Rattus norvegicus: one gene and its partners. The protein of the gene in region 1 interacts with the protein of each later gene in a biochemical or structural test. Links are inferred from orthologs where the notes say so. Each region holds a gene or a part of one and is shown in the gene's direction. Other genes may lie near its edges. The genes, in order: Khdrbs1, Lyn, Fnbp4, Itk, Hck, Yes1 and Fyn.

Region 1 (4,291 bases):
CTGAGAAGCTTCTTAGTTTGCTTTTGGGGGACAGGGTGTCCCTTCGATATCCTAGGTGGCCTGGAGCTGTGTATGTAGGCCAGACTTGTCTCAAACTTGAGGTAATTCTGTGGCTCTCCCTCCTCAGAACACTATGAAGGATAACCACCTCATTCCCTTAGTAGGGGTAGACGTGAAGGCCACTATGTGCATGTAGAGGTCAAAACTTGGGAGAATTGGTTCTCTCCTATTTTGGGCCAGGGGATAGAACTCAGGTTGATGATAGTTTTTCCCCCAATGAACTAAGTCAATTCAAGACGAATTAAAAAAATAAAAAAGGCATGTTTATTTGGGAATGGGCTCCCAGGCGAGACCACCAGCCTCAGAGTACCGGAATAAATCAGGGGCAGACTATGGCTGGTAAGTTTTCAATAAGAGTGTAGGCAATAAAAATGATGTGTCTACCACAGGCTGGGCTGGGGTCATCAAGGGAGAGGGAGAGATTTGGGTAGCTGGTGACTTCAGATGAGGTGGATTAGGACAGTCAAGAATTCGGGACTGGGTTTTTTGGCGCCTTTTTCTGTTCTGAGGCTTTCTAAGTGGGCGGGGTTGGAGGGAGAGAGAGAGAAAATTGGAATTTACTGGGGGTAGGGGAGCTGGGGACTCCAACCAAACAGGTGACAAACAGTATTGCCAGTTGTTCTGGCCCCAAATGTATCTTTTAATAATTCTCTCACCAAATTTGAACCTGCTCTAATAGAAATCTTGGTGTCTGACTTCCTGGATGCTCTACTTGGGAATGGAGGGAGCCCTTTTTTTCCGTTGTTTGCGTCTCTGACTGACCCCTTCTGAGTTTCAGTTCTGCAATACATAGCATTTAGTCTTCTATTTCCCATTCCTGGCTTCCCTTTCTCACACCCACCCGGGGTCAGCCTCTCCCAGCATCCCCATCTTCCCATCCCGTTCGCGCAGTCTTTCCCTCTCTTTCGGCCTCGCTTTGCTCTAATCCTCGCGTTCCCCTCTCTCCAGAAGCGTTCCTTTCATTTCCTTGCTGGAGAGGCGGCCCCCGAACCACACAGCAGCACCGTTCCCCCGGGACCTCCCCAGGCTCGGCCGTTGAAGGAGGCGTGGCCCACGAATAACAGGTCTCCTGCCGCACACTCCGCGGGCCCGAGCGCAGACAAAGACATTCCACGGCGCCCGCCCCCTCCGCGCACTCCGCCCGAGGGAGGGGGAGGGGAGACACGTGTACCGCTAGCGCCGGGTCACGTGGAAAAGGAAAAGAAACGAACGAAGGCGGCCGGCGTCTGCGCAGGCGCAATAAACTCGGAGCCTGAGTGGGGAGGCTACGTCTTCAGTCGGCGCAGGCGTCGTGGCCCAACTGGGGACTTTGTTCTCCGCGGAGAAACTCAAGGGCGGTGCCGGTAGGCGCCTGCGCACGCGCGCCGCCTCATTTCCGGTGCTCTCTCGCTGGGTCGCTCGGGTCGGCTTCGGTCGCTGTCGCTCCCGTTCTTCCACCCCCGCCAACCGCCGCTCGGGCCTCAGCGCCGTCGCGTCGCTTCCTCGCTCGCTCGCCACACATCATTCCTGATGCAGCGCCGGGACGACCCTGCCGCGCGCCTCACCCGGTCCTCGGGCCGCAGCTGCTCCAAGGACCCGTCAGGTGCCCACCCCTCGGTGCGTCTGACCCCGTCTCGGCCGTCGCCGCTTCCTCACCGGTCCCGGGGAGGCGGAGGTGGGCCCAGAGGAGGCGCTCGGGCCTCGCCCGCTACGCAGCCGCCGCCGCTGCTGCCTCCCTCTAATCCGGGTCCCGACGCGACTGTGGTGGGTTCCGCGCCGACCCCGCTACTGCCCCCGTCAGCCACAGCCGCGGCCAAGATGGAGCCGGAGAATAAGTACCTGCCTGAACTCATGGCTGAGAAGGACTCGCTCGACCCGTCCTTCACTCACGCCATGCAGCTGCTGTCCGTAGGTAAGCGGGTCTTGGCGTACTTTGGGGTCTCCCGGTACCGGCGGTGGGTGGCCGCCGCTTTGTTCTTGCTCCCGCCCCCTCGGAGCCCAGGCATCGAGAGTGCTCATCTCGACCTAGCCTTAGAGATTCTGCACCCTCAGTCCCACCCCGGATCAGGGTATAAGGGGAGGTTTCGGAACCGCGGTCGAGGCCCGAAGAGGACTCGCGATCTCCGAGCGCGGAGAGGTTGATGGATAGTACCGTGCTCCCGCCCCCTTCTCCTCCGGTAGTAGTTGCCCCGCGCGCCAAGGACCAGCTCTTACCAGAAATGAACCTACTTCTCCCAGCTTTCCCAAAGAGAAAACAATTTGGGGAGGCGGGGTCGCGGGTGGTGGAGAGTGCCTTGACCTGGGTTGTAAAGGTAAAAACTGCCGGAATGCCGGTCCCGCGCGGCGCCTCTACGGAGCGGTGCTGCGGGATTTAGCGGGAACTCGGGTTTAAGTTCATCAGAGGTCGGGGCGACCAGAGAATCCCGGAGCTTGAGGTTTTCTCAAGCAAAGTTTTCCGTTTCGGCCTGTCGAATAAGAATTGCTACAGACCCGGATGGTTTTCTCTCCTTTATTTTAAAATGTGTTTTTGAAGTTATGCAAATGGGGAAATGATGGAGGTAAGGGACGGCAGGTTCTTTTGCGGGAGATGAACGAGAAATTAGTCTTTTTGTTTTAGTTCTTGCTTGAGTAGAGATAGTTTAAGAATGGTAGCCTTTGTTCTCTGCTTGTAGACTAGTGAGCCCTCTTCTCTTGACTTGAGCGACTTAGACATTTTTCTTATTCAAACCGCCTATTGGACCCTCACTTGTAGTTAGACATGGTTTTTAGTAAGTATTTTTTTATGATATCTAAATTTTAGATATCACAGTCTGTCTCACTGATTGAATAGTTGGAGTTTTGTGGGGCAGATGGAACCTTGTTACCAGACAAAAACTGGAGAGGTTGAGCGGATTCAGAAACCCACTCTTGACCTGGTAACTGTCCTGGACCTTGGTAACACTTGACCAAGACACCCCATGGAGAGTCTAACCTCTCAGTCCAAGCCAATAGAAAGCGTCTGCTTTTAGACCCCAACCCACTCCAAAATATATATTCGACCCTATCCACGAGGAATAAAGTTATTTCATCAAAGACCGTCTGAGAGATTGACAGACTCTGGCCAGAATGGTACTGTGGACAGGTCATTGTGAAAATACCATTATCTAATGGAGAGGTGGATCAGCGGTTAATAGCACTTTCTGCTCTTCCACAGGGGTTCAGTTCCCAGCGCCCACATCAGGTGGCTCTCAGACACCTGTAACTTCAGCACTGGGGGACTGATGTTCTCTTTTGTCCTACAGAGGCACTCAAAATACAAATCCGAAAAGAAATAAAAGGAAAATACCATTTTCCTTCATCTGTTCTCTGTCTCCCAGCGTTGTTGAAGGGGCTTTACCGTTTGTACAATGCAAAAAGGTCGTGGATGGACAATGACTTTAAAGACCTGCTTTTCTTTCCAGTCAAATGGAAAAATAAGTGAGGACCTTTGAAGCACAGTAAACCAAACTTGTGGTCAGTAAATAGAAACATCAATTGTTTGCATTTCAGCTCAGGACCTTCATTCTGTAACACGCAGGTTCTTATGTTTTTGTTCTTTTGTTCTGACAACTTAGTTACTGTAAGGATTTTTAACCCCCCCCCCTTTTTTTTTTAAATGAGGCAGGTCTCAAGTAGCTGAGGCTGGGTATTTACATATATCTACATTTATATATAGCCCTTTGTGACCTGGAACTTGTGGTCCTTTTCCTCCAGGGTTTGGGAGGTGTGCCCCACCACATTCAGTTTGTGCAGTGCCTAGGATCAGGCTTAGTACTCTACTAACTTATCTACATTTTCAGGCCATTATCTTTTATATTTTTTTATACCGGCTTGCAAATAGCAAACACCTGTGTTTGATTGACTTTGATAAGTGCCTGCCGACTGAAGAATATCACTATGAAAGGTTGACTTGGTAGTCTTATTTTTATTTCCTCAAATCTTTATAACCTGTCAGGTTAATTGCTAAAGAGTTATATCAGGTCGAAGATGTTAACTTTGGAAACTGACTGTTAACTAGTTACTTGGTCCTGAGAAACTAACTCTGCAGTGTCATCTGTGCAGTGGTGAGTGTGAGATCTAGGTTGTGTGTAAAATCAGCCAGTTACCTCTGACCTGTACTCACCAAACAAAATGTCACCATCGTTTTCTTCTGCTTATAAATTCCTATATACACAGGGCATAGTTTGGCCTTTCTGACTTCAAGTGCAGGTGATCATTCTTTTTTCAACAGGGT
Region 2 (3,500 bases), about 130 Mb from region 1:
GGTAAAGCTGTAACCCTTAGCTGTGAGTAGTGTTTGTGCAGACCAACGCTGCAAGACAGGTGAAGAGAGGTTCAGGATGGGACTAGGAGGACTCCGGAAGAGGACCCAGGATGAGGCCTGGAAGGAAAGGAAGTGCTAACCAGCTGCTCCTTTGCTGAGCAGTAGAGGTTGAAGGGGCTTGTGCAGTCTTCACAGTGTGAGGTAAGGAGGCTGCTGCTGCTGGTGATGGAGGAGCCTTCCCAGATGCAATTTACAGCCTCTGGGGGACAATTCACTCTATTGAGAAGTCATCCTAATTGAGGAAGCTTCTCTTCTTTTTTTCTTTTTTTTTTTTTTTTTTTTTTTTCCCCCGGAGCTGGGGACCGAACCCAGGGCCTTGCGCTTCCTAGGCAAGCGCTCTACCACTGAGCTAAATCCCCAACCCCAGAGGAAGCTTCTCTTAAACACATACACACAAATACACAGACAAGTACACAGAAATACACACACACCACAAACATGCACTCCATAAACACACGCAAGCACACATACATGCACACATAAATACACACAAGCATGAGCGTATGCGCACGTGTACACACACACACACACACACACACACACACACACACACACACACACACTTTCTTCCTTCCTTATCCTTGACTGTGTAATTTGGTGGCACAATCCTTTAACTGATTTTTTGAGCTCTGCCACATTTCCTACCAGCACTAAGTAGTACCTTCTCCTCTCTGGGCTGTTGTCTATATGAATCCTTCATTCTGCCTCATATTTTTGCTTTGTTGCCAGAGTATATTCTGTTCGTCCTGAGGGACTATGCTCAGAGGCTCTGGAGAGCTGGCCCCACCTCTTCCTTAGCAAGATCCTGACAGAAAGGGTCTTACTAACAAGCGTGTGTCTCACGTCCTGTTGCTGGTGTCTTGTATTAGCAAATCACTTTCTTCTCTTCTGTTGTCTTAGTTCTGGTTTCTACCACAAAATACCATGGACTGGATGTTTCCAACAACAGGCATTTATTTCTTAGAGTTCTAGGGACATCCAGAAAGAAGCACCAGCACATTCAGTATCTGGTACAGGCCCATTCTCCTTACAGCCTCTTAATAGCCATGGCCACCCAAGGTGGAAATGATTAGGAAGCTCTCTGTGGCCTCTTATATAAGGGCACCAAGTCTGCACTGCCCCCCAACCTAGTTACTTTACAACTACCAACACATAAGGATCATATTGAGGGTCAGGATATCAATATATAAATTTAGGGGACCTCACCTAAGAATCTAACATGACCTCTGTATATCAGCATGGGCAGGTTTTACAGGTCTTAAAAAAAGCTTTCACACTGTTAAAAATGCTGAATCTATTGTTATTTAAAAAACAAAATGTTACCATGGGGCTGAGGTGATAGCTGAGCAGTTAAGGCCGTGAACTGCTTTTAGGGAGGGCCCAGATTCAGTTCCCCTCTCTCATGTTGAATTATCTCAACTGCCTGCAACTCCAGCTCCAGGGGATCCAATGCCCCCTTCTGGCCTCCAAGAGTACCTGCATGCAATGTTTTCACTGAGACACAAAAGACACACACACACACACACACACACACACACACACACACACACACACACACACGGACCGACACGAACACACACACACAAAGAGATAAATAAAAATAAAATAAAAACTTTTTTTAAAAAAGTTACCATTGTTGGAGATGTTAGGGACAGACTTTAAAAAGAATTCTAAGGGTGACTTTAGCACTATCTTAAAATTTTGAAAAACTAGTTTTTTTCTTGATGGCCAACCATGACAGCCTCTCTAGAATATGAACATGACCCCCTTCTGTTTGCAGATTGCAGAAGGCATGGCGTACATCGAGCGGAAGAACTACATCCACCGCGATCTGCGAGCTGCCAACGTGCTGGTCTCTGAGTCTCTCATGTGCAAGATTGCAGACTTTGGCCTCGCGAGAGTAATCGAAGATAATGAATACACAGCGAGGGAAGGTACGTGTGCTGGGTTACAGAGGCCATCTTGCTGCAGGAGTGTGCTATTGCCCCCCATGATGATGCCCTCCCACTTTTCCACCCCCCAATTCTGTCCTGTGTTCTCTCGGTTCCCACCGACCTTGTTTCTACCTTCAAGACAAGGCATTGCTGTGTAATGAGGAAATCTCCTAGCTATGTATCTGACAGGTAGTTAATATACAAACAACTCAAAAAGCGACATAACAAGAAATATTTCATTATTTCTCTGCCTAATTTCATTTTTGTTTGCTTTTTAATAAAGCATCTACAAAAAAGTCATCATTTTGAAGGGGAAAAAAAGGGCTTATTTGGTACAATATTGAAGATGTGCCTCAATGGTAGCTTTCTGTGTAAGATCTGTCTTGGATAAGGCCACTCAATACTGTAACAAGATTCATGAACAGTAGTATCTGTCTTCTTCTTTGCTGGTTTTTGAGATAAGGGGGTGTTTTACTTTTTGGCAGTGGGGATTAATGGACGAGGGTCTCATCTTTGCAAGGCAAGAGCTCAACCACTGAGTTGTAGCACAGTCTTGCTGTGTAACCCAGGCTGGCCTCAAACTCTAAATCTTGCTGCCTCAGCCTCCCACGTGCTGGGACTACAAGTATGTGCACCACACATCCAGCCTTGTATTTCACTTAGTCAACACTAAATTTGTCAAAATTAAGATTCTTTATTTACCCTGTAAGGCAGATTTTTTCCCCTCTCAAATAATAAAGCACATGTGCTTCCCTGGACTGCAGAGATGTTCGTAACACTTAGTCTATGCTGCAGACCACTGATGATGGGCCTCGGAGGTTCTGCAACTCTAGAGATCCTCTGTAAGGGTCTGAGCCAGGATCCAAGCCAGGGAATCCAGCTTTTGAGTACATGAGAGAGAATTGATTACACTGGTTTGTTGACACCAACAAGCACTGAGTCTTTGAAAAATACCAGAAAGGACAAAGACCATAAAGAACATGTTAGGATGATACCAAATAGAAAGTGGTAACATGGAGATGCTCCGAGACTCTGTATCTCTGTCCTCCCATCATGCACCACTGCTCCAGGCTGTCTAGAAACAATCCAGGAGTCAGTGATTGTGAGCCCAGCACACAACAGGTGTACACAACTGTCTGTTCTGTTCTTATAGGGACTACTAGTCTTAGTAAGGCACTGCAAAAGAAAATGCCTGCAAAGACATAGTAAAGATAATGTTTTCAAGCAGTGGCTATGAACCCCTAGCAGTTCCACAATGCTGGAGCTACAGACTGCGCCAAGTCTTGCTTTCCTCGAAGGAAATTAAATATAATTCTGGTTGTGGATCTAGTTCAGTAGTCAAATGTGTACTTAGCACTCATTCCGGCACTAAAAATTAAGTAGGTACATTTAAATGAAATAATAAATATGGCCACTCAAACTTAGAATGGACTTACTAAAGAAAAGCCTGAACTGTGTTGTAGAGAAGGCTTGGTGTGACGTTTTGATACTGTATGTTTGGTTTCG
Region 3 (4,044 bases), on another chromosome or scaffold:
GGTGCCAGAGGTCAGAACAGGGCAATAGATCCCCTGGAACACAAATTACAGTTGTTGAGTGTTACAGTTGTGAGTCTCCATGGGAGTACTGGGAATTGAAGGTCCTCAGGAAGGTCAGCCATTGCTCTCAACCACTGAGCTCTCTCTCTAACCCCAGATTTTGTTGTTTTTGTTTTGAGACAGGGTCTCACTAGGTAGTCCTAACTCTAGAAGAACTCACAGATCCACTTGCCTGGCCTATTATTCTCTCTTTAATAACCCATCCCCATACATCTTCTCCAGATTTTTGCTTGTATTATTATTTTTATTATTATTATTACTATTACTATTATTATTTATTGACAAGATCTTACTTTGTAAGCTCTGGTATTATGTATACTTGTAGTAATTCTCCTGCCTCCATCTCCACTGAAATTATAGCCATGAACCATGACAACTAGTTCTCCTAGTATTTTAGAACACTTCAGTAGCTCTCCAGGAGTGCACCACCTTTTAGACATTTATCTTTCACCTTCTGACCCGCTGTCATTAGTCTAGAAGCAATTAGAGATGGAAGCAGTGGGTCCTGGACAAAATCAGCATTACCTTGCTTGGCAACTATCTCAGGGGAGAACATTAATGTTTCAGCATGTCACCTGCCTCTAGGAATGGGGAGGTTTCTTCAACAAGCAAATAAGACTCAAAATTTAAAGAGCTCAACAACGCCTGCCTCAAGGTCTTTCCTTTAGCTAGAAGTGGAGGAAAGGGCAGAAAGTAGTGTTTGCGGAAGTAAAATAGGATGAGGTAAAGCTTCTGTATTCCATAAGAACAATTTGGCCTTTTACAAGGTCCAGTCATTTTCCCTACTAATCAGGTCATATTTTCGTTTTAAGAGTCTACTGATGTATAAACACCCAGCATCGTCGTTTAATACTATACCCAAAAGAAGCTACAATAACCAAGAGAACTTGCAGAAGGGTCAAATGTATCTTTATCTTTCTCAATAGCAAATGCAATAAGCCGCTGAAAACAGCCGAAAGATGGCGGACAAAGCCCTAAAGAAAAGACTTAGCTAACAGCGCACGGCCGATATCCAATCTAAGGAAGTCGCACAAACTGAGGGCCCTTCCGCGTCATTGGCTGGACGTCCTGTCTCTTCCTTTTGCTATTGGCTATTGATGCCTTCTCAAGTCAAAACAGCCAATCGCCTTATCCCTGAATAAAGCCCACCCACTGTGGATGGAGCAGAAACGTCGTAAAGGCACCCGGGCTCAGGCCGCATGCGCAAGTGCACCGCGCCGGTTAAAAGCGGGTCTCCTCGGGAGGCGGTGCCGCGGTTCATGAATATTGATTACGCACCGGGGCGCCGTGCGCCCGCCCCTCTAATCTGCCGTCGTTCGCTGCTCGCGCTTGGGCTCGTGATGGGGAAAAAGTCCCGGGCGGTACCCGGCCGCAGGCCTATCCTCCAGCTCTCTCCACCGGGTCCTCGGAGCAGCACCCCGGGCCGGGATCCCGACCCCGATCCGGATCCCGAGACCGATTCGACGGCTGCGGCGACTAGCCAGTCAGTGCCGGCAGCTGCGACGGCAGCGGCCGCGACGTCGCCCGCGGTGCCTGCCACCGCTGCCCCAGAGGACTCGCCTTCAGAAGGTAAGGGCGCGCGAGAGGGGCCCTGCCTTTATTTGGGACGTCCGAAACTCGAGCACGGGGCTTGCGGCCTAGGCTCCCAGGTGTCTCTTCCAACCCGGTGAAGAAAAGTAACCCAGGCGGGTGAGGTGCACCTCGGCTGCTTGCGATTTGGGGCCCGCGGGACGGCGGCCGCGGACTCTGGGAGCCGGAAGGCCGGGCCCGGGCTCATCTGAGGCGCCATTGCGGTGCAGGGGTTTCTCCCGGGAACCTGTGCAATCCACCGAGGCTTGGGACCCCAGATGTCCCCTAGATGACCCCTTCGATCTTAATAACGCAGAAGATGGAGGGCAATTTCCACGTGCGAGCCTTAAGGCGGTTGAACCTAACCTTCTCTACGTGTCACACTTGGTTTCGTTTTTGTTGAAATGGAGACACCACTCTTTAGAAGTGAACAAACCCTTGTTTTTTCTTATGCCAGACAAAGCATCGGTAACCCCAGACTTATGGGCAAGTGACAAAACCTGTGGACTTTTCTGGAACTGTGTTTGGGTGTAGAGTAGCAATTACAGGGATTAAGTGCCGGAAAAGATATACTATACCAAGTATTAAGAAATCAAGTTAATAGGAAGTGCATTATGTGTGGAAACATGCAGATGTATTTGTGCATGTTAATTGTTAAGTGCCATTGCAGGTGCCATTTTCATAGTGTTCACATTCTTACTGTCGATATCACTAAATGAATGGAAGATTCTAGGTCAACTTGGTTTTCATCCCCTTAGTTTGTATCAGTGATACACACTGGTTTTTTAAGTTGGTGGGATCCAGGCCAGAAAAGGGTCAAGTTTTGGGTTTTGTCTTGTTTTTTCCCTGGCCCACTGACCGACTGCAGTTTTCTTTTGTTCATTTCAAATACAGATGAACAGGAAGTGGTGGTGGAAGTCCCAAACGTTGTCCAGAATCCTCCCAAACCAGTCATGCCCACCAGACCCACAACCGTTAAGGCAACAGGTAGAGATTTTTGTTGTTTTAACTTTTCTTTAAAAATATCTTTTATTAAGTTAAAAGTGTGTACTTGGATTGTTGGGTGGTTAAATGTTGCTGATTTGTTATTTCTCATAAAAAGTAACTCAAGTTTTTCTAGGATTGGGGTTGCATGTCAGTGGTAACATGCAAGGCTCTAGGTTCCAGTCTCAGCTTAAAAAAATGGATTAACAAAAATTTTTCTTAAAGACTTGCTGAGTACAAACTTTAAGTAACATGAAAGTTTATTTACTTTTGGTTTATTTACATCTATACACACAAGCTTGCATGCTTCTAAGGCTGCACACTTAATACCTATTTTTTGAGAGTCTCAAGTGAACATGAACCTAAACTGTTCAGCTAGATGGGCTGTAAAGAGAGTTCTTCTCCCCCAGTCTGTCTGTCCTGACCGCTTCACCCCCAGCTCTGTGGTTACACATGAGTGTGCCTCATACTCCGCCAAAACAGGGGTTTAAGGGATCCGAATGCAAGTCCTTAGGCATTTTACAAATTGAGTCGTCTCTCTGATGGCTTTTTGGTCCTTTTGTGTTCTTTGGGAGCATCAACTATGCCTTACTTTTCGTTTGACCCTTACCGTATTTACTCATTTGATTCCCCCCCCCCCTCCAGTGACTCATGGTCCATGCTGGCCTAGAACCTTCTATATAGCTGAGGTTGGCCTTTAGCTATTGATAACTGCTGCCTTTACTGCCCAAGTATTGTGATTACAGGTGTGCTTCACTACACCCAGCTCATTTAACACACTGCCTGGTTGGTACCAGTCAAATATTTATGAAGCTGACAGTCCTCTTATATATCCCCGACCCTGTACAGTTTGCCAGTCCACTCTGCTGAAATATTTGCAGCAGTGATTATCTTGGCAAGCCTGAGTTCAAGTCATCACTCAGGACAGTTATTGAACTGAAACGTACTCATGTATATGGATCTACTATAGTCCTGAGTTGCTTGGGGCTTAAATTTTACATATATATTTTAAATTATATGTAGAGGGGGAGAGAGAATTTTCACATTGGAAAAGCAATTTTATTTTGAAGGTTAAAGTTTTTTTAAAACTTATTTTCTTTTGACATTTGCCTTCATGCCAGAGGAGGGCATCGGATCCCATTACAGATGGTTGTGAGCCACCATGTGGTTTCTGGGAGATGAACTCAGGACCTCTGGAAGAGCAGTCAGTGCTCTTAACCACTGAGCCATCTCTCCAGCCCCAATGATTTTTATTTATAGATGTGTGTCTGTCTGAGTGTGTGCTGAGTGTGGGAGCCTAAGGAGACCAAAAGATGTTAAGATACCTTGAAGCTGGAGATGAAGATGGCTGAGCTCCTCAATGTGGGTTCTGAGAACCAAACTCTGGTCCTTTGGAAGAATAGCTATCTTTCAAGCACAGATTACAGTATT
Region 4 (3,500 bases), on another chromosome or scaffold:
AGAATCCAGTGCCTGGTGAACTGTAAGGGAGAGGATCTGTGTCTGTCTATCCGTACAGGACCTCACATGAACAGCTGGTGGCTGCCACTACTGAAAGCCTGTTCCGTGCCAGTTAGTGCCTTCTCCTTCTTGAAGCAGGAGAGTGGAGCTAGGTTCCAGAGACTGGGTGTTAGATCACTAACCTTTCACTCTTTCCACCCAATCCAGGGTAAAGAAGGAGCATTCATGGTCCGAGATTCCAGGACACCCGGGACATACACAGTCTCTGTCTTCACCAAGGCCATCATAAGGTATGCCACTCGCTTGGCACAGAGGAATCATGACAGCTGCTTTTGTGTGACAGTGTAGATGTAGCGAGATCTGCCCATACATCATGCAGAGCCTCACTAGCAGTGGTGTGGCTTCTTCCAATGCTCCTGTAAAGTTAAAGCCCCAAGTTCAAGGGCAGGACTAGAGAGATGTAATAAGAAACAGAACTGGCTGGATACCAGATCCTTTCCTTGACTTTGGCAAGGCCTGGAGGCAGAGCTCTGAAGACATCACATACTTGCTTCTGTATGTGGTGAGCACATCAGGTAATAAATATATAGAGTAGAAGAAAGTAGTTTCAACTACAACTGGAAATAGACCAATGCCAGGTCTTGACATGCTAAAAATAAAACCTGTCTGCCATATTGAGAGTCCTGTGTGGCAGAGACTCCTGAGTGTGGGTGCATGTATGCAAGTGTGTATGTGTGTCTGTGTGTGTCTGTGTATGTATGTGCTTATCTCCAGATTCCACCCATGAGAGAAAGCATTCAATACTTGTCTTTCTGAGTCTGGATTTTTTTGTTTACCACACTAATCTTCTGTCCCATCCATTTCCTTATGAGTATCCTAATTTCTTCTTTACAGTTAAATAAAATTACAGTGTATATATGAAGCACTGTTTTTTTAATCTGTTTCTATGCTAAGGAACATCTATGATGACTCCATATTTTGGCTATTGTAAATAGTGCAGCCATAAACATGCACAGTCAAAAATCCTCACGCCGTTCTGGTAATAACTGTGTGTGTTCATTTGTTTCAAGTGAGAACAACCCCTGTATAAAACATTATCACATCAAAGAAACAAATGACAGCCCCAAGCGGTACTATGTGGCTGAGAAGTATGTGTTTGACTCCATCCCTCTCCTCATCCAGTATCACCAATACAATGGAGGAGGTAAGTTCTAGGGGACCGATCCCCACAAGGAGACTTGGGAAGAAATGACCGAGTCCCCACTGGGTTCTTTATGCAGCCCCAACTGTCCATAAATAGTAACTCAAGATGCAAATCAGAAACAGAAACAGAAACAAGCAAAACAAAAAACTTCCAAATGCCCAGGATCCCCATGCCTCCCACAGGAAATATCTGCTCTGAGGTCACCTTGTCCCTGCCCTCCTATGCTTAAGGATCCTCTCAAGGGCTCTGTGAAAACGGTGGTGGGACTTTTGGAATTTGGAAGTACTATTTCACGTACCGTTCTTTTCCTGGTGATTTAAGCTAGACAATTGCCATGGCAAAACCCTAACCATAGCCTTTGGTTTTTCTGTCAACCTAGGTTTGGTCACTCGACTCCGGTATCCAGTTTGCTCCTGGAGGCAGAAAGCCCCTGTCACAGCAGGGCTAAGATATGGTAGGCAGAAGATGTTGGACATTTGAGCTAAAACATACATACCTAAATGTCTAGGACAAATTCTGAGAGTATTTGCTATTAGCCTAACTGTTCTTTAAATGTCAGATGATTTGGAGAGATGGTAAGAGTGATCGATCATATGCATTTGTGTAAGACCAAACACATTTAGTAAGACCAAAGCAGTGCCCTTTGGCTTCAATTGAGGCATTCATTGGGCACTACTTTATACAGAGCACCCTACTAAATGGTGTTGAAAATGTCAGAAAATATCCCTTAGCACTGTGTTCTATTCTACCCTTTGGCACTTTAGTTATACTCTAACTTGTTGGGTCTGGGTCTTCTACAAGGGCTGGGAGCTGTCAGCATCAGAAATGTTTATGTAGAATAAAGTTAAGTTTTGAAGATCTAGGACTTTAACTCAGTGGCAGAACATTGGTCTAACCCGAGTCAGGTCCCAAGTTTAATCCCCAGTACCAGAACAAAAAGGCGGGAGGGGAGGACTGTACCTATAGGGCCCTGGGGCCTACTATGAAGTCTGTCCTCCAAAATAGCTTCTTGACTCTCTACTAGAATCTAAAGGCATCTCAGTTCATATCCCTTGGTCCAACACCAAAATGTGCTGTTTGAAGAGGAGACTAATCTAATCATCCATTGTTGTAACCATTGGTGGTTCTCAGACTTCAGTGTGCAGCCAGTCTTTCCAAACACTTATCAAACAATGCTGATCCCAGGACACTCCCTGCTGCTTACCAAAACACTCCCCGAGAGCATGGCCTTGGAGTCCACATTATAAACAAGCAGCCCAGTAGCTTTGACCTAGGTGGGCAGGGAAATGCTTGGAGAAACACTGCCATAGAGTCTTCATATGCAGCCCTCAGCATGTGTTGCATACAGAGGATGCTCACATGCTGTCTGCTCTTGAGTCTATACCTCAGCTTGACAGACATGTGGCTGTACCATGCACCAGGAAAGCAGAATATATCATTATCCTCCTCATGAAAGTAAGGCTACTCTAATCGCTGAATCCTAAATTGTCCTGGATGGCATCACAGAGACTCTCTGGTCAGCCCCACTTATTTTGTCAGTAGGAAAATGAGGCTTAACTCCTTTTATTTGTATACTAAATACTTACCAAGAGCCCGCTCCAGGACTAGAGAAATGGCTGAAAAGTTAACAGAAGTTACTGCTCTTCCAGAAGAGCCAAGTTCATCTCCCAGCACCCAGATTCACTTATAACTCACTCCAGACTCACAGCCACTTATAACTCCACCCCAGGAGATCCAATACTCTCTTCTGGTCTCTGACAGTACCTGCATTCATGTGCGTTACACTCAAACAGACTTACACCATACTCATAAATAAAAACAATTCTTTTTTTTAAAAAAAGTCCTGCCAGAAACAGTTCCCTGCACAGGTCCCCCATGACCCAAGAACAGATCTTCAAGCTCTATTCTTGTCAAAGCCTAGCACAGTGCTGTGAGCACAGAGGGCCTCTAAATTCATCCACGAACATGTGAAAAATGCAAAGAAAATTTCCTCTGCAATAATGGCATAAAATTACAGACCTGGTATTTGCAAATCTCCATGTACTCTAGAGACTGAGAGAGTGGGATTACAAGTCTGAGACCAATCTGGGATGGATGATGAGTCAGTCTCAAGAGAAAAAAAAAACATAATAAACTCTTTTCAATCAGATGCAGCTAAAAAAATGTTGGAACCCTATAACGATTAACCTTATTTGCCTTCTTTATCACACATAACGCCATTGTCTTTTTCTCTCCTTGCTCTCTCCTCCTCATCATGGCAATTTCAAAAACATGTCCGATGTTAAATAATAACTAC
Region 5 (3,500 bases), on another chromosome or scaffold:
AAGTTAGTTTTAAAAGCCCATGTCCCAACTACATTTACCGAGAGCCTGCTATATGCCGGGTGCTGAGCAAATGAAGCCATAGGAAGTGCAAGGAGGAAAGCCAGCTCTGAGGAGCAAAGTTGGGGTAAATTTTAAAAAGAAAAAAGAAAGAAAAGAAAAGAAAAGGGGTTGGGGATTTGGCTCAGTGGTAGAGCGCTTGCCTAGGAAGCGCAAGGCCCTGGGTTTGGTCCCCAGCTCCGAAAAAAAAAAAAGAAAAAAAAAAAAAAAAAAAAAAACAACCAGAGTGAGCCAGTGAGATGGCTCACTGGGAAAAAGGCTTGCTGCAAAAACTGATGATCTGAGTTCAAACCCCAGAACCCACACTGAAAAGAGGGAACTGCTGGCAAAGATTATCCTCTGACCTACACACACACACACACACACACACACACACACACGGGGGGGGGAATTAATTTTCTTATTTTTCTGTTTTTTTCACTATTTAATTTTTTACAGTCCAGTTGTTACCCCCCTTCCAGTCTGCCTTCCCACAGTTCCTCATCCCATTCCTCCTCCCTTCTGTTCCCCAAGAGGATGCCCCCCACCCTACCCCCTTAATTTTATTTTATTTTTTAATGAAAGCAAGAGTGAGCCAGACCTACCATCCCAGTTACTATATTGAGACAAGACTCAAGTTCAAGGCCAACCTGAACAACTTAGTAAGACCCTGTTTCAAAATAAAAGGTGAAGGGGGGGCTGGGGATATAGCTCAGTGGTAGAGCACTTTCCTCGTATGAGATCCTGGTTCAGTGTCTAGTTTGAGCATGTGTGTCAGAGGTGGCCTTGGTGGATGACAAGGACAGAAAAGTAGGCATGATCAGCAGGCAGAGCTATGGGACATAACGGATCCGGTATTTATTTCAAGGCAGTTAAGCTTACACAGTCTGTGCAGGCTAGTGTCACAGTCCAACTGGTGGCTTAAGGGTTACTGCCATGATCACTGTCACAATGCCTGGGATCAAGCCCAGTATCCTGTATGTGCTGAGCTCCAGTCTCAACCCTTGTCTTTAGAGTCATGGCTGGCCCAGAGCCTCCAGTCCTCCTGCTTCATTGGCTTTCCCAAGCCAATGAATGACAGGCATGAGCCCCAAGCCCAGACAGGAGGGTTTTGCACTCTTGCAAACAGCGTTTCAGACTGAGTGCTTATCACTTCCACTTAGCAGGGGGAGGAAAACAGCCTGGAGAACTTAGGTAATGTGTTTCCGTTGCACTCAGCTAGGCAGGGAACCCATCTCCAGCCCACAGATGGGGTGGACATAAGCGGTGCCCTCCCTCTGTCTTAAAGGCCTAAGGTGGGCAGGGCTGCTGGGTCCTAACCACCGTCCGTGTTCCATGCTCTCCCCAGCCACCTACAACAAGCACACCAAAGTGGCGGTGAAGACAATGAAGCCAGGGAGCATGTCTGTGGAGGCCTTCCTGGCAGAGGCCAACCTGATGAAGACGTTACAGCATGATAAACTGGTGAAGCTGCACGCCGTGGTCTCTCAGGAGCCCATCTTTATTGTCACCGAGTTCATGGCCAAAGGTGCGTGGGCTAGGACAGACCGTGGTCCGAGCTGACTTCCTTCAGTCTCAATGATGACCTTGACGGGGCTCTTCTGGCACATCCAGCACGTCCCTATAGAGCACCAACACTCCAGCCTCCTGGCTCGCAGAGTGAAATCAGGTGAAGGGTGCTCTGTGGAGAGGAAGGGCAAGGGCTGCAGAGCCTCTGGATGACAGATGCAGCACATGGCTTCCTTGTGACTTGTACCTTGGAACTTTGACGCTGGGCTGTAAAGAAGTCCTGCTTCGAGTACTGAGGGACAAGAAGCCACATGGAGAAAGACCATAAAGGTGACACGTCATCTTGAACATTCCACCTGTGTCACCTCACCTCACAGTGAGGTCCTGCTATGATCAACCCACTGAACCATGACAATGCTCATGTTGTCACTTCAGGCTACTTAGCTTTGGGTCGCCCTACCCTGTGATTATTCAGCATATCTCAGGAATGTTTGAGAAAGGATTTCACCCTGTAGCCCAGGTTGTCCTGGCACTCATTATGTAGCCCAGGCTAGCCTTAATCTCACAGCTGTCCTGCCTCAGTCTCTCAGGTGCTAAGATTACAGATGTGTGTCTCCATACCTGGCTTCCCAGAGTTTGTTTATTTGTTTGTTTGTTTGTTTGTTTGTTTTAAGACAGCTAGTTTATAGTCATTTTCATTCCTTGGTCATTTCTGGATAAACATTTCACACAGCATCATCTAATGTGACTTGAAAACTCAAAACTTTTCTACTTTTCAAGTCTACAAATCTACAACCAGCCAGCTTTCTAAAGCCAAGCCCTGGGCACCCAGTTTCACAAGGCTGCATTTCAGAAAAATTCAAGCTCTAGCACTCGTATCCTAGGAGCAGTAGGGAGATATTTCTTTAACTAGCACTACTCCTGGGCAGTGATGAATGCTGGTAGTCGAGACTATTCTACTAACTGAAGTGGAAAAGTAGCTGGAGCCCAGGAACTGGAGACCAGCCGGAAGAACACAGCAAGGCACTATCCCGGGAAGAAAGTCATACCCGCTTGCCTTCAATCCCTGCACTTGGGAGGCAGAGGCAGGCAGATCTCTGTGAGTTCAAGGCCGGCCAGGCTAGTCTACAAATCGAGTTCCAGGACAGCCAGGACAACACAGAGAAACCCTGTCTCAAAAAACGATGAGTACGACAAAGAAGGGGGAGGAGGCAGAAGAAGCTGCTTGGCTGGAGCTGTAGCTCAGTGGTAGAGCACCTGCCCAGCATGTGTTAGGCGGTTCTGGGTTCAATCCCCGTAGTGCAAAGAGGATAAACCCCTATTGCAAGAAGAAAAAGTTACTTATTTCTCACTAAGGAGTAGTAGTCCATGTTCCTTCTTGCTCCCCTCTGCAGGAAGCCTGCTGGACTTTCTCAAGAGTGAAGAAGGCAGCAAGCAGCCACTGCCAAAACTCATTGACTTCTCAGCCCAGGTGAGCTGTGCCAGCAACAGACAGGAAAGGTGACGTCATCGTAGTGCGTGCTCTGTATCTTTTGTGTGAATTCTCATCCTCACCACGGACACAAGGACTAGTGACAGTACTCCAAGGACTCAAAAACTTATGCACGCTAAAGTCCCTTATAGAAAATAGTTATCGGGTTGGGGATTTAGCTCAGTGGTAGAGCGCTTGCCTAGAAAGCACAAGGCCCCGGGTTCGGTCCTCAGCTCGGAAAAAAAGAAAGAAAAAAAAAAGGAAAGAAAAAAAGAAAATAGTTATTTGCAAATCATCTAGGCCCATTCCCCTGTACACTACTTAAAGCAGCTCTGGGCGACTTATGGAACCCAACATAAATGCTATGTAAAGGGTTATTATTTTGTTGTATAAGGGATAATAATCGTTTAAAGGCTGTAGACACTGAATGTAGATGCAGTTGTTTTTAGAATACTCCTGATGTGCCGTTGGTTGAATCTGCAGA
Region 6 (4,053 bases), on another chromosome or scaffold:
CTGAAGGTTTAGAAAGGCAACAGCTCAAGTAATTAATGTTCTAGTTTAAAGAAAAATGGAGTATGTTTATATATAAAACGTAATGTCTCAGTCAATGGCAAAATAAATCACCATTCTACATCACACGTAGGTGCTCATGTGGATTCCCATCCCTTTCTTTGAAGAAACTTTTTAAAACTGTGTGCATTTAAGTTCCTAGAATACCAGAATACTGACAGAGTCGATGGTGCTATTTAGAATATGCCAAAGATGATGCTGAACTTCGCTGAAAACCACAAAGGAAACCAAGAGTCCCACATTAATACTTCGAATAACCCCATCAAAGAGGAAATACAAAAGGGAAATTAAGAGTGTGATAAGGCAGATGTGCCTTTAGCAGAAATACATCTAGATTTAGTCTCTTGACCTTGACTTTCATCTTTACCCCAGTTCCTCCTGAACCCTTACTTTTTCTACAAGGCAAGTAGAAAAAGATGCAAGGCCTCCTGAGGAAGAGAAAACCCTTTCATTGTGACTTCTTCACTTTGGGGGGCCCTAACCTCAGTTTCCATTGCCCTCAAGCAGAGTCACAGTGCCTGTTCGGGTTCCCTATTACTAGGATCAAATAAAATGCTGTCCCACGCTAAGTGAAAGCCACCATTCCTGGGAGAGTTGCCAACACAACTCAGCTTCGGTTCCACTCCCGGCAAGGCTGGTTCGACCTACAGTCAACAGGAAGCTTCTGGGGCAGGGACAGGATCCCAGCTAAGGAAAGGCCAAACGAGAACGTTTTTGGACCGCGACCAAGGTGTCAGCACCGCCCCGGTGGCTCTCGCGGTTGGACTGAGATTTTACTATTAGTGACAAAGGGTGCGGAGACACAACGTTGAGAAACGAACAGTCAACCTCTCTCCAAAGAGCCCCAACCCCGACCACCCTCCCAAAACAAAGCCCCACACTCTTCGGTGTTTCCGTGAGCCAGGCGGAGCCCTGCTTCGCTCGTAGAGGTAGTCCGCGCGCGGGCAGGCAGGGAACCACAGACTGCTTTCTCCTCACGCCCCCTCAGGAGCCCGCCCAGCCCCCGCCGCCATGTTGGGCCGGCAGGCGTGACACTGACAGGCCTCCCAGCCGCCCGCGGACCCCGCGCAGAGCTCCCGCGCCGGAAGGCGCTCCAAGCAAGCAGCAGGGCGCGAGTTCCGGTGAGCGGGCGCGCGCAGGTAGCCGCAACCCCTGCCCGGCGCGCGGCCGCCCCAGTCGGGAGCGGAGGGGCGGGGCCGGCGGCGAGAGGAGGAGAGAGGGAGGCCGTGGGGTGCGGGCGCCCGGGAATTCCCTCCTCCTCAAGTAACGCGTCCCGGGCCGGCTGTGCGGCCGTCGCTGCCTCCCGGCGCCCCGCAAGCAGGAGGTGGAGAAGGGAGAGGGCCCCGCGGGCGTCCGCCTCGGCCGGCCGCCTTCTCCCCGAGGCGACCCGTGCGAGTGCGGCCGGACCCAGGTAAGCTCGCGGCGTGGCCTCGCAACGTAGGCGACTGACCCTGGCCGGGCTGCTCTAGGCCTCGGCATCCGCCCTCCTGCTCCCCGGCTTTTCGAGGCGCCGCCGCTCCCGGCTCTGTCCGCCTGCCGGGCGGGGAGTCTGGAAGTTGAGGAGAAACTTCTCCCCTCCCCCGGTCCGGCCGGCGGGCGGGCGTGTCTCCTGGGCTCACTACCTGCTTGCCCAGTGCCTCGGTCCCCGCCCTTGTCCAGTACTTCCCGATCCTGCGGGAGTCCGTGCAGTGATCCAGCCTCTGTGGTGCCGCCGCTGCACCCTGAGTCCTGAAGGGCGTGGAGTCACTCGCGACCCTGAGGTAGGGGAGCGGCCCCTTATCGTCCTAGCGGCTGGAGGTCTGTGTCGCCGGACGCCCGCAGCAACTGTCCGGAGCGAGGAGTGGAACGCGGGAGGCGAGAGAGTGAGCGGCGAGTTGTGCTTGGTTTGATTGAAAACCACGACGTGTTTATAAAGTTTTCCTTTGTTTGGTTTTGAGGGTGTTGGGACATGTTACAATCAGTGGCCACTTTTAAGGTGTCAAGCCACTCCGCCTTCCCTTGGGTTCGGCTCTCTGTCCTCCTCTGTTAACGAAAATTTTGTTTGAGCGTTTTTTGCTTCCTGATAATTGCTTCCAGCTTTTGCTCTATTGGGCTTGGGAAAGAGTTGTTTTAAGAAAGTGGGAATATCGTTTCTAGCATAGGGATTGCTGTAGTGAATGGGGGTACAGCGTAGTTTTGATGTGGTTATTCTTTGCATAAGTGATTGAAACAGCAGTGGAATGACTAATGACAGTTATCGAAATAAATAAAGGAAAAGTCTGCAGTTGAAACATAACGTAGTACCTCTCTCGTGTGTTCCACAGCTGTGTTTTTTACATTAGTGATTTCACAGGATATTGTGGTTTAGTATATTCGTGCATTATGTAAAATTACTATACTAAAAGTATCTTGACAATTGAAAGTGTTTAAACATCCTGTGTTTAAATTTAATCTAAATTTAAATTACATACTAATGAAAATGTCACTAAGTGTGCATATGTGACTCCATTTAAGGCTGAATGCATGCTACCTCTATTAACCAGCACAATGGTTGTGGACTGGAAACATTTTGAGTGGGAGGATAGGGGATGTTAAATTAAAAGCCAAAGTTCTTAAATGCATCACGTATGAGAGAGAACACAACTGTAGGAAAGTTGTTCCTCAGGAATTTTTTTCTCTTCTTCTTGCTATGTCAGCATTTAGCTATATCTTATTTTTGAATACCAGCAAAACCTCAGTGAAAATGTAAATGCTGGTTGACATTTCAGTGGGTCCTAAATTTGGTGAGGGAGAGAGAGTTTGCTTTTGATTGAAACTTAAATACAAGACTATTTATATTCCATGTTTCTAGGATAAAAGATAGAACTCTTAAAATGTGTACTTTACCATAAAACTATGGTAATGTTATCATACCTTTAATTTTGTAGCTAGGTTTTGCTGACTTCACAAACCACAAAATTGACTCCTTTCTGTTCAACTGAAAGTGAAATTACAGCCTTGACCTGTCTTCTTGGGATAGGTGTGAAATTTGTCTTATGACCAAAGAATAATATTAATATATAGTCAGACATTGTTTTTAGTTCAGGAAATTCTCAAAAAAGCACTGTCTCTGCAAATAAAATTTTATTTCATTGCATATGTAAATAAAAGAATATGCTAAAAGAGCAGGGACCCAGTACAAGGGAAATACTACTAATCCCTGTTTATTTGAAGTTCAAATTTGCATAATTCTAACAGTAAATAGCATTTACTGTGGGTAATTTTTTAAAAAATGTATTTAGCTTCCAATTCAGTGAGGCACTTCAATGTGGGCATCATTTATTAGTCTTAGTACTATTGTTTAGGAAAGAAACTGTACTAATTTTTTTTTTTTGAAGCACAGTGCTAGGCTCTGATGTCTAGGAATGCAAATTTAAATGATCAAATTATTATTGTAAAAAAAAACCTACAAGGAAGTGATTTGCATAAAAACAAAGATAGGGAGGGAAGGAAGCAGCTGTGATAAGGCCAGACTTCTACAGCAGTAGGAAAGTTCTCTGTCCTTGGGTCTTGGAGGAGCTGGTCTTAATTTATCAAGTCATACATTTGTATGTTTGTCTCTTAACCTGGGTTTTATATTTTACATAAAAATACTTTTAAGAAGCCTAAATATAATGTAATGTAAAATGTGCTTAGGTTAAATTAGTAATTTAATTTTTAGGATAATCTGGTTTCCTGTCACAACCTTTAGTCATTGATGTCTGGCTTAAGGGCTCTTCTTTGCTAACAGGTTTAGATTTCCTGCATCATAAGTGTCATATACTAGTTCGTGTGTGTAATTTACTCGAAAATACCATACACTTCCAAATGTACAGTAATGAGAGAATTTTTTAAGAAATGTTTCTTATTGAGTTCTTGATTTTTATTGTTATTTTAATGTTTTGAGAGAAAATGTTGTGTGTTATTAATTTTAAATATAAGTACTAAATAGTAAGTAACATGTTTATTGAATAAATAGGTGTTGTTCTTTTATCAGGT
Region 7 (4,210 bases), on another chromosome or scaffold:
TTCAGGGGAGAAAAGTACTGAGCAGGAAAGATAACATAGACCTTGAGCGTCAAAGGAAGCCAAGGCTGCTTCGCTTAAACTTACTTCTTACAAGATTAGATTTGCTGGGGGGGAGAGGGGTGAGTTTCTTACCAAAATCATTAAAGAAAATGATTCTGAACGTGTCTTAAAACAGAGCTTTCAGGAAACAGGAATTACCTATAAAGAAAATCAGGAAGGCGAAGTGTTTCTTTTTATGAAGTTACATCCTGCCATAGAAAAGCTGAATCGGAAATAAAGACCGACTGCATACCAACCCAGTTATTATTTCATCAAGGAAAATCTGAGTAAAAAGCTCAGCCCAGCCACCAATGAAAACAAGAAAACCAAGAGAAGTTTGAATGCATCGAGAAGCCAGACAGGCAATGGCTACTCTAAAGAGCTAGGAAAGCGCCCAAGCATCTCTACTGTGTGGTTTGGAGGTTCTTTGTTGCAGGCCCCTTGAATTTTAGTCATACTTCCTCTCACGTTTCCTGATGTGTGTGTGTGAACATGAACATATTTGGGTGCTCAAGAAAATGAGACTAGCAAATTATGAATTTCTTCTTCTTATTATTCGTTGCGCATTTGTTGGTTCGAGCTTTCCCAGTTTCTGCACTGGTACTTCTCTACTTTGCTCCTCACTTCTCCAATTTGCCATCGCCCTTCTTAACACCTTTCCACTTTATCCTCCCACTCCTATTTCTTTGGAGAAATAGGTTCCCATGGCTGTGAGGCTCGAGTGGCAGGTGCCAGTCTCCACTAGCAAAGTAGGAAAGCAGCTCGTTCCCTGCGCTCTCTCCTGTCCACCCCACCAACTCGCAACTCCACAGGATCCTCAGACACACACCTCCTCCTTCTCCTCCTCAACCTCGCATCCTCTCGCACACCCTGTGGCCCTGCGCACGCCAGGCTGCCCGCCACCACAGTAACGCTCAACCCACTCGGCGGCCCCACCCATGGCCGTCCCGCCTCCGACGCGCGCACCAATGGCTGACTGCGCTCAGCCCTCAGCGGACCCTTTGATAGGGCAGAAGGAACTGACAGTCTCGGGGCGTGTCCCGCCCCCTCTCGAACCCCTCGGGATCCGGAGCAGCCCGAGCATCAGCGAGAGTAGCTGCGAGAAGCCGCGGCGGCGGCGCGTCGGTGCAGTTGCGCCATCTGTCAGGAGCGCAGCCGGCGGGGAGGGGGCTCCGCGGAGAGGAGGAGGGGTCGCTGTGCGCCGAGCCTCCGAGACCCGCCCGCTGATCAAGAGCGCAGCGAGGCCGCCTCTAGCCGGAGCGCTCCGAGGACTCCCCGGGCGCACACAAAGCCGCCGCCCGCGCCAGGGAGGGACTGGGCTGCCGGGCCGGGGACACCGGCGCCGCCCCCTCGGCGCTTCGCGAGGCCCACGAGCTCCTGGGCCCGGCCGCGGAGCCACCGGAGCCGCCAGGGCCTCGCCGGAGGAGGGCGGGGAGAGGACCATGTGAATGTGCTCCGGAACCGAGCGCCACGCCACGCAGGTAAGCGACCGGGGATGCGCGGAGCCTCGGGATGCTGCGGAGACGCCCGGCCCAGCGCCCCCGCACGGGCTGCCCCCGCTGCGGTCCCGCCGCGCAGCCTCCAGGGCGCCCCGCGACGCAGGACACTGATGCGGGGTGCCGCCCGGAGGCTGCGCGGGCACCGGGGTGCCATTCCTCGGCCGCCGGCAGGCGCCGGGTGAAAAAAATAAGAATTGGCTTGGGGGCGAGGTTGGCCCAGCTCCGCCTCCGCCCTCCTTTCGCAGCCCCCCGCGGGGACCCGGGCTGTGTGTGTTGTTTTAATGTCAGGGATGATGTAATCACTTAATAATTGATGCCCGGTGCTGCTTTCCTCCCCACCCAACCCCTGCCCCACTCCTCCACCTCCCGGCCTCCTCCCTCGGCGGCCCTTGCCTTCCCCAGCGCATCCTTCTGCCTATTTCTGGAACCTCCCTTGCACTTCCCCCACCCTCCCCTTCACCCTTCCTGTGCTGCCACCCACCCACCCTTCCCCTTTCCCCTGTGTCTGGCCTTGCCTTTTCTTCCTCTGTCCCCCACCCCTTCGGCTTTCAAGCTTATTCCTCCTCCCTTCTGGACTCGCTGGATTTCCTCCCTACTTCCCTAGGTCGGTAGATGGTTTTGTTTGGTCTCCTCTAGGCTCTCTTATCTCTGAGGCCACAGGGACTGGGCTAGAAAGAGGCCACCAAGCTTGGGCCCAGGAGGCATTGGCTGGGACTCACTGGGAGGAGGGATAATAAAATCACCCATTTTGCCCCTCCTTCCTCTAATAAATCAGACTCTCTCTCTCTCTCTCTCTCTCTCTCTCTCTCTCTCTCTCTCTCTGTGTGTGTGTGTGTGTGTGTGTGTGTGTGTGTGTGTGACACAAAGAGCCCTTTCAGTTCATAGAAAAGAGACACATAAAGTCCCCAAGGCACCACCATGCTTCTTGTCTCATCCCTGGGGCTTCCCTTTCTTTCTGATGAAGCAGTTGATCTCTAGTCCTTTCTGCCACACTCACCAAAAAACGAAGGCTCCCGATCCCGGGTGGCAGGTGCACTTATTTTGCTGTATTCCCAGGGTGGTGGCATTGAGTGGCAACTGCAGTTTCCCCTATTTAAGGGAGGAATTATTTCAGCTGTTTTAGGAGTTGCTATACTTTCAAGGAACCCTCCTTCCATCCCTCGTTTTCCTCCCCTTTCTTCTTGGGGGATAGGTACTGATACCTGAGACAGGATAAATCAATGGGTGGGGGGATCAGAAGAATTTTGTGTCTGAGTCAGAATCAGTTCACCAAGAGTGAGGCAGCCTGACTGGATTCTCTAAAGTCCAAGGCCGCTTTGCTGAATGAAGTCTTTTGAAATGTGCTGTGGTGTCCAGCTATGCTCTTTTATTTAAGTGACCGGGGCTGTGGCATGAACGCACTTGGGCTGGCGTTCGGAAGACCCTGGAGGCACCACTTGTCTGGTTCAAGGGTGACTTTGGATGCCCACATCCTCTCAGCACCAAAGCAGCTTACAGTAGTTTTCACCCTTTGTGCTCAGTCTCCCTGCCCCTGCCCCTGCCCCACGAGTACCATGCCCTCAGACTTGGGAGGAAGTGGTTTCAACTCTCAAGCTTTGGGGCTAGCTGACTATGAGCCGGGGGTGTAGATGACTGGATTCAGAACCCATGATGTTCCTCTTAAGGTAGAGATATTCATGTAAATCTCAGACATAGTGTGTCAGAAACTTTGGTGTAGTCTGCTGATTCCTGGATCATGTTGTGGGGCCTCAAGTGTTCAAAGTAACGGAACTGTCCCAAGTTTACTTTTTAGCTGTTTTATCTGAAAAGAGTTGTGATGAATTAAGCTGACATCCATTGTGGAACATACATACATACATGTACACACATATACATACATACACATACATACATGCACACACATATACATACACAGATACACATATATACACATACATACATGTACACACATATACACACATATACACATATACACACATATATATACACACACAGATACACATATACACACATACATACATGTACACACATATACACACATACACACACACACACACACACACACACACACACACACACCATACATACAGCAGAAGGGTTAATAATGAATGCTCTCTGGAAACAAAGGCTGGTTTGTTGGGATGCCAAACCCAGAAAGGAAAGTCAATACACAATAAACTCACACTGTACTGACCAAGTCAGAGGCACTTATTAATAAGGTTAAATGAGTGTGAGCAAATGCCCTCTATTTTCTGACGGTCTGGAGTCCCCACCTCTTCTGATGTTCTGAAGCCCAGGCCCAGCACAAATGTTGTCTCTATTCTGAAACCTTCACCGGCTTCTCTGCTCCAGCCAAGCCACCATGTCTCCAAATTTGTCTCCCAACACCATCGTCAGAGTCTGTTTTTGTTTATTGTCCATTTCTGCCACTGGGTCGAGAACCTAATCTGGCTTGTCTCATTTTCATTGGGTTTTACTCTGGTTGGTATTACTTGGTGGCTTCATTTAATGAGCGACAAATATGAATCAGATCAACGATACATACGTACGTACGTACCCAGCGTCTTTTAAGAAGACTCATGTTAGTAGCTATAGTAGGCCTGAGAATGTATCATGGTACAAAAACACAAGAGATTCGTCTGTGCCCCTGTGATAGCACCACATACGTGTGT

Evidence for each region.
Region 2: the proteins of Khdrbs1 (region 1) and Lyn form a complex in vitro, tested with the Homo sapiens proteins (3 studies listed by BioGRID and IntAct, with this or other methods). The link is inferred for Rattus norvegicus from reciprocal best matches to the Homo sapiens genes KHDRBS1 and LYN.
Region 3: the proteins of Khdrbs1 (region 1) and Fnbp4 form a complex in vitro, tested with the Homo sapiens proteins (2 studies listed by BioGRID and IntAct, with this or other methods). The link is inferred for Rattus norvegicus from reciprocal best matches to the Homo sapiens genes KHDRBS1 and FNBP4.
Region 4: the proteins of Khdrbs1 (region 1) and Itk form a complex in vitro, tested with the Homo sapiens proteins (4 studies listed by BioGRID, with this or other methods). The link is inferred for Rattus norvegicus from reciprocal best matches to the Homo sapiens genes KHDRBS1 and ITK.
Region 5: the proteins of Khdrbs1 (region 1) and Hck interact in a biophysical measurement, tested with the Homo sapiens proteins (2 studies listed by BioGRID and IntAct, with this or other methods). The link is inferred for Rattus norvegicus from reciprocal best matches to the Homo sapiens genes KHDRBS1 and HCK.
Region 6: of the proteins of Khdrbs1 (region 1) and Yes1, one has a biochemical effect on the other in vitro, tested with the Homo sapiens proteins (2 studies listed by BioGRID, with this or other methods). The link is inferred for Rattus norvegicus from reciprocal best matches to the Homo sapiens genes KHDRBS1 and YES1.
Region 7: the proteins of Khdrbs1 (region 1) and Fyn form a complex in vitro, tested with the Homo sapiens proteins (4 studies listed by BioGRID and IntAct, with this or other methods). The link is inferred for Rattus norvegicus from reciprocal best matches to the Homo sapiens genes KHDRBS1 and FYN.

Annotation. Positions count from the first base shown.
Region 1 is NC_086023.1:147,370,649-147,374,939, reverse strand, and holds the start of Khdrbs1 (KH domain-containing, RNA-binding, signal transduction-associated protein 1), read left to right. Parts: upstream 1-1,491; 5' UTR 1,492-1,569; coding exon 1,570-1,951; intron 1,952-4,291. UniProt on the Homo sapiens protein: Recruited and tyrosine phosphorylated by several receptor systems, for example the T-cell, leptin and insulin receptors. Once phosphorylated, functions as an adapter protein in signal transduction cascades by binding to SH2 and SH3 domain-containing proteins.
Region 2 is NC_086023.1:21,545,127-21,548,626, forward strand, and holds part of Lyn (tyrosine-protein kinase Lyn), read left to right. Parts: exon of another isoform or gene 1-307; intron 308-1,840; coding exon 1,841-1,994; intron 1,995-3,500. UniProt on the Homo sapiens protein: Non-receptor tyrosine-protein kinase that transmits signals from cell surface receptors and plays an important role in the regulation of innate and adaptive immune responses, hematopoiesis, responses to growth factors and cytokines, integrin signaling, but also responses to DNA damage and genotoxic agents.
Region 3 is NC_086021.1:97,187,608-97,191,651, forward strand, and holds the start of Fnbp4 (formin-binding protein 4), read left to right. Parts: upstream 1-1,244; 5' UTR 1,245-1,319; coding exon of another isoform or gene 1,320-1,400; coding exon 1,401-1,629; intron 1,630-2,523; coding exon 2,524-2,616; intron 2,617-4,044.
Region 4 is NC_086028.1:31,267,505-31,271,004, reverse strand, and holds part of Itk (tyrosine-protein kinase ITK/TSK), read left to right. Parts: intron 1-207; coding exon 208-290; intron 291-1,070; coding exon 1,071-1,204; intron 1,205-1,583; coding exon 1,584-1,658; intron 1,659-3,500. UniProt on the Homo sapiens protein: Tyrosine kinase that plays an essential role in regulation of the adaptive immune response. Regulates the development, function and differentiation of conventional T-cells and nonconventional NKT-cells.
Region 5 is NC_086021.1:162,059,333-162,062,832, forward strand, and holds part of Hck (tyrosine-protein kinase HCK), read left to right. Parts: intron 1-1,384; coding exon 1,385-1,564; intron 1,565-2,939; coding exon 2,940-3,016; intron 3,017-3,500. UniProt on the Homo sapiens protein: Non-receptor tyrosine-protein kinase found in hematopoietic cells that transmits signals from cell surface receptors and plays an important role in the regulation of innate immune responses, including neutrophil, monocyte, macrophage and mast cell functions, phagocytosis, cell survival and proliferation, cell adhesion and migration.
Region 6 is NC_086027.1:120,645,607-120,649,659, forward strand, and holds the start of Yes1 (tyrosine-protein kinase Yes), read left to right. Parts: upstream 1-1,253; 5' UTR 1,254-1,468; exon of another isoform or gene 1,469-1,919; intron 1,920-4,053. UniProt on the Homo sapiens protein: Non-receptor protein tyrosine kinase that is involved in the regulation of cell growth and survival, apoptosis, cell-cell adhesion, cytoskeleton remodeling, and differentiation.
Region 7 is NC_086038.1:44,321,254-44,325,463, forward strand, and holds the start of Fyn (tyrosine-protein kinase Fyn), read left to right. Parts: upstream 1-1,410; 5' UTR 1,411-1,487; coding exon of another isoform or gene 1,488-1,520; intron 1,521-1,699; exon of another isoform or gene 1,700-4,210. UniProt on the Homo sapiens protein: Non-receptor tyrosine-protein kinase that plays a role in many biological processes including regulation of cell growth and survival, cell adhesion, integrin-mediated signaling, cytoskeletal remodeling, cell motility, immune response and axon guidance.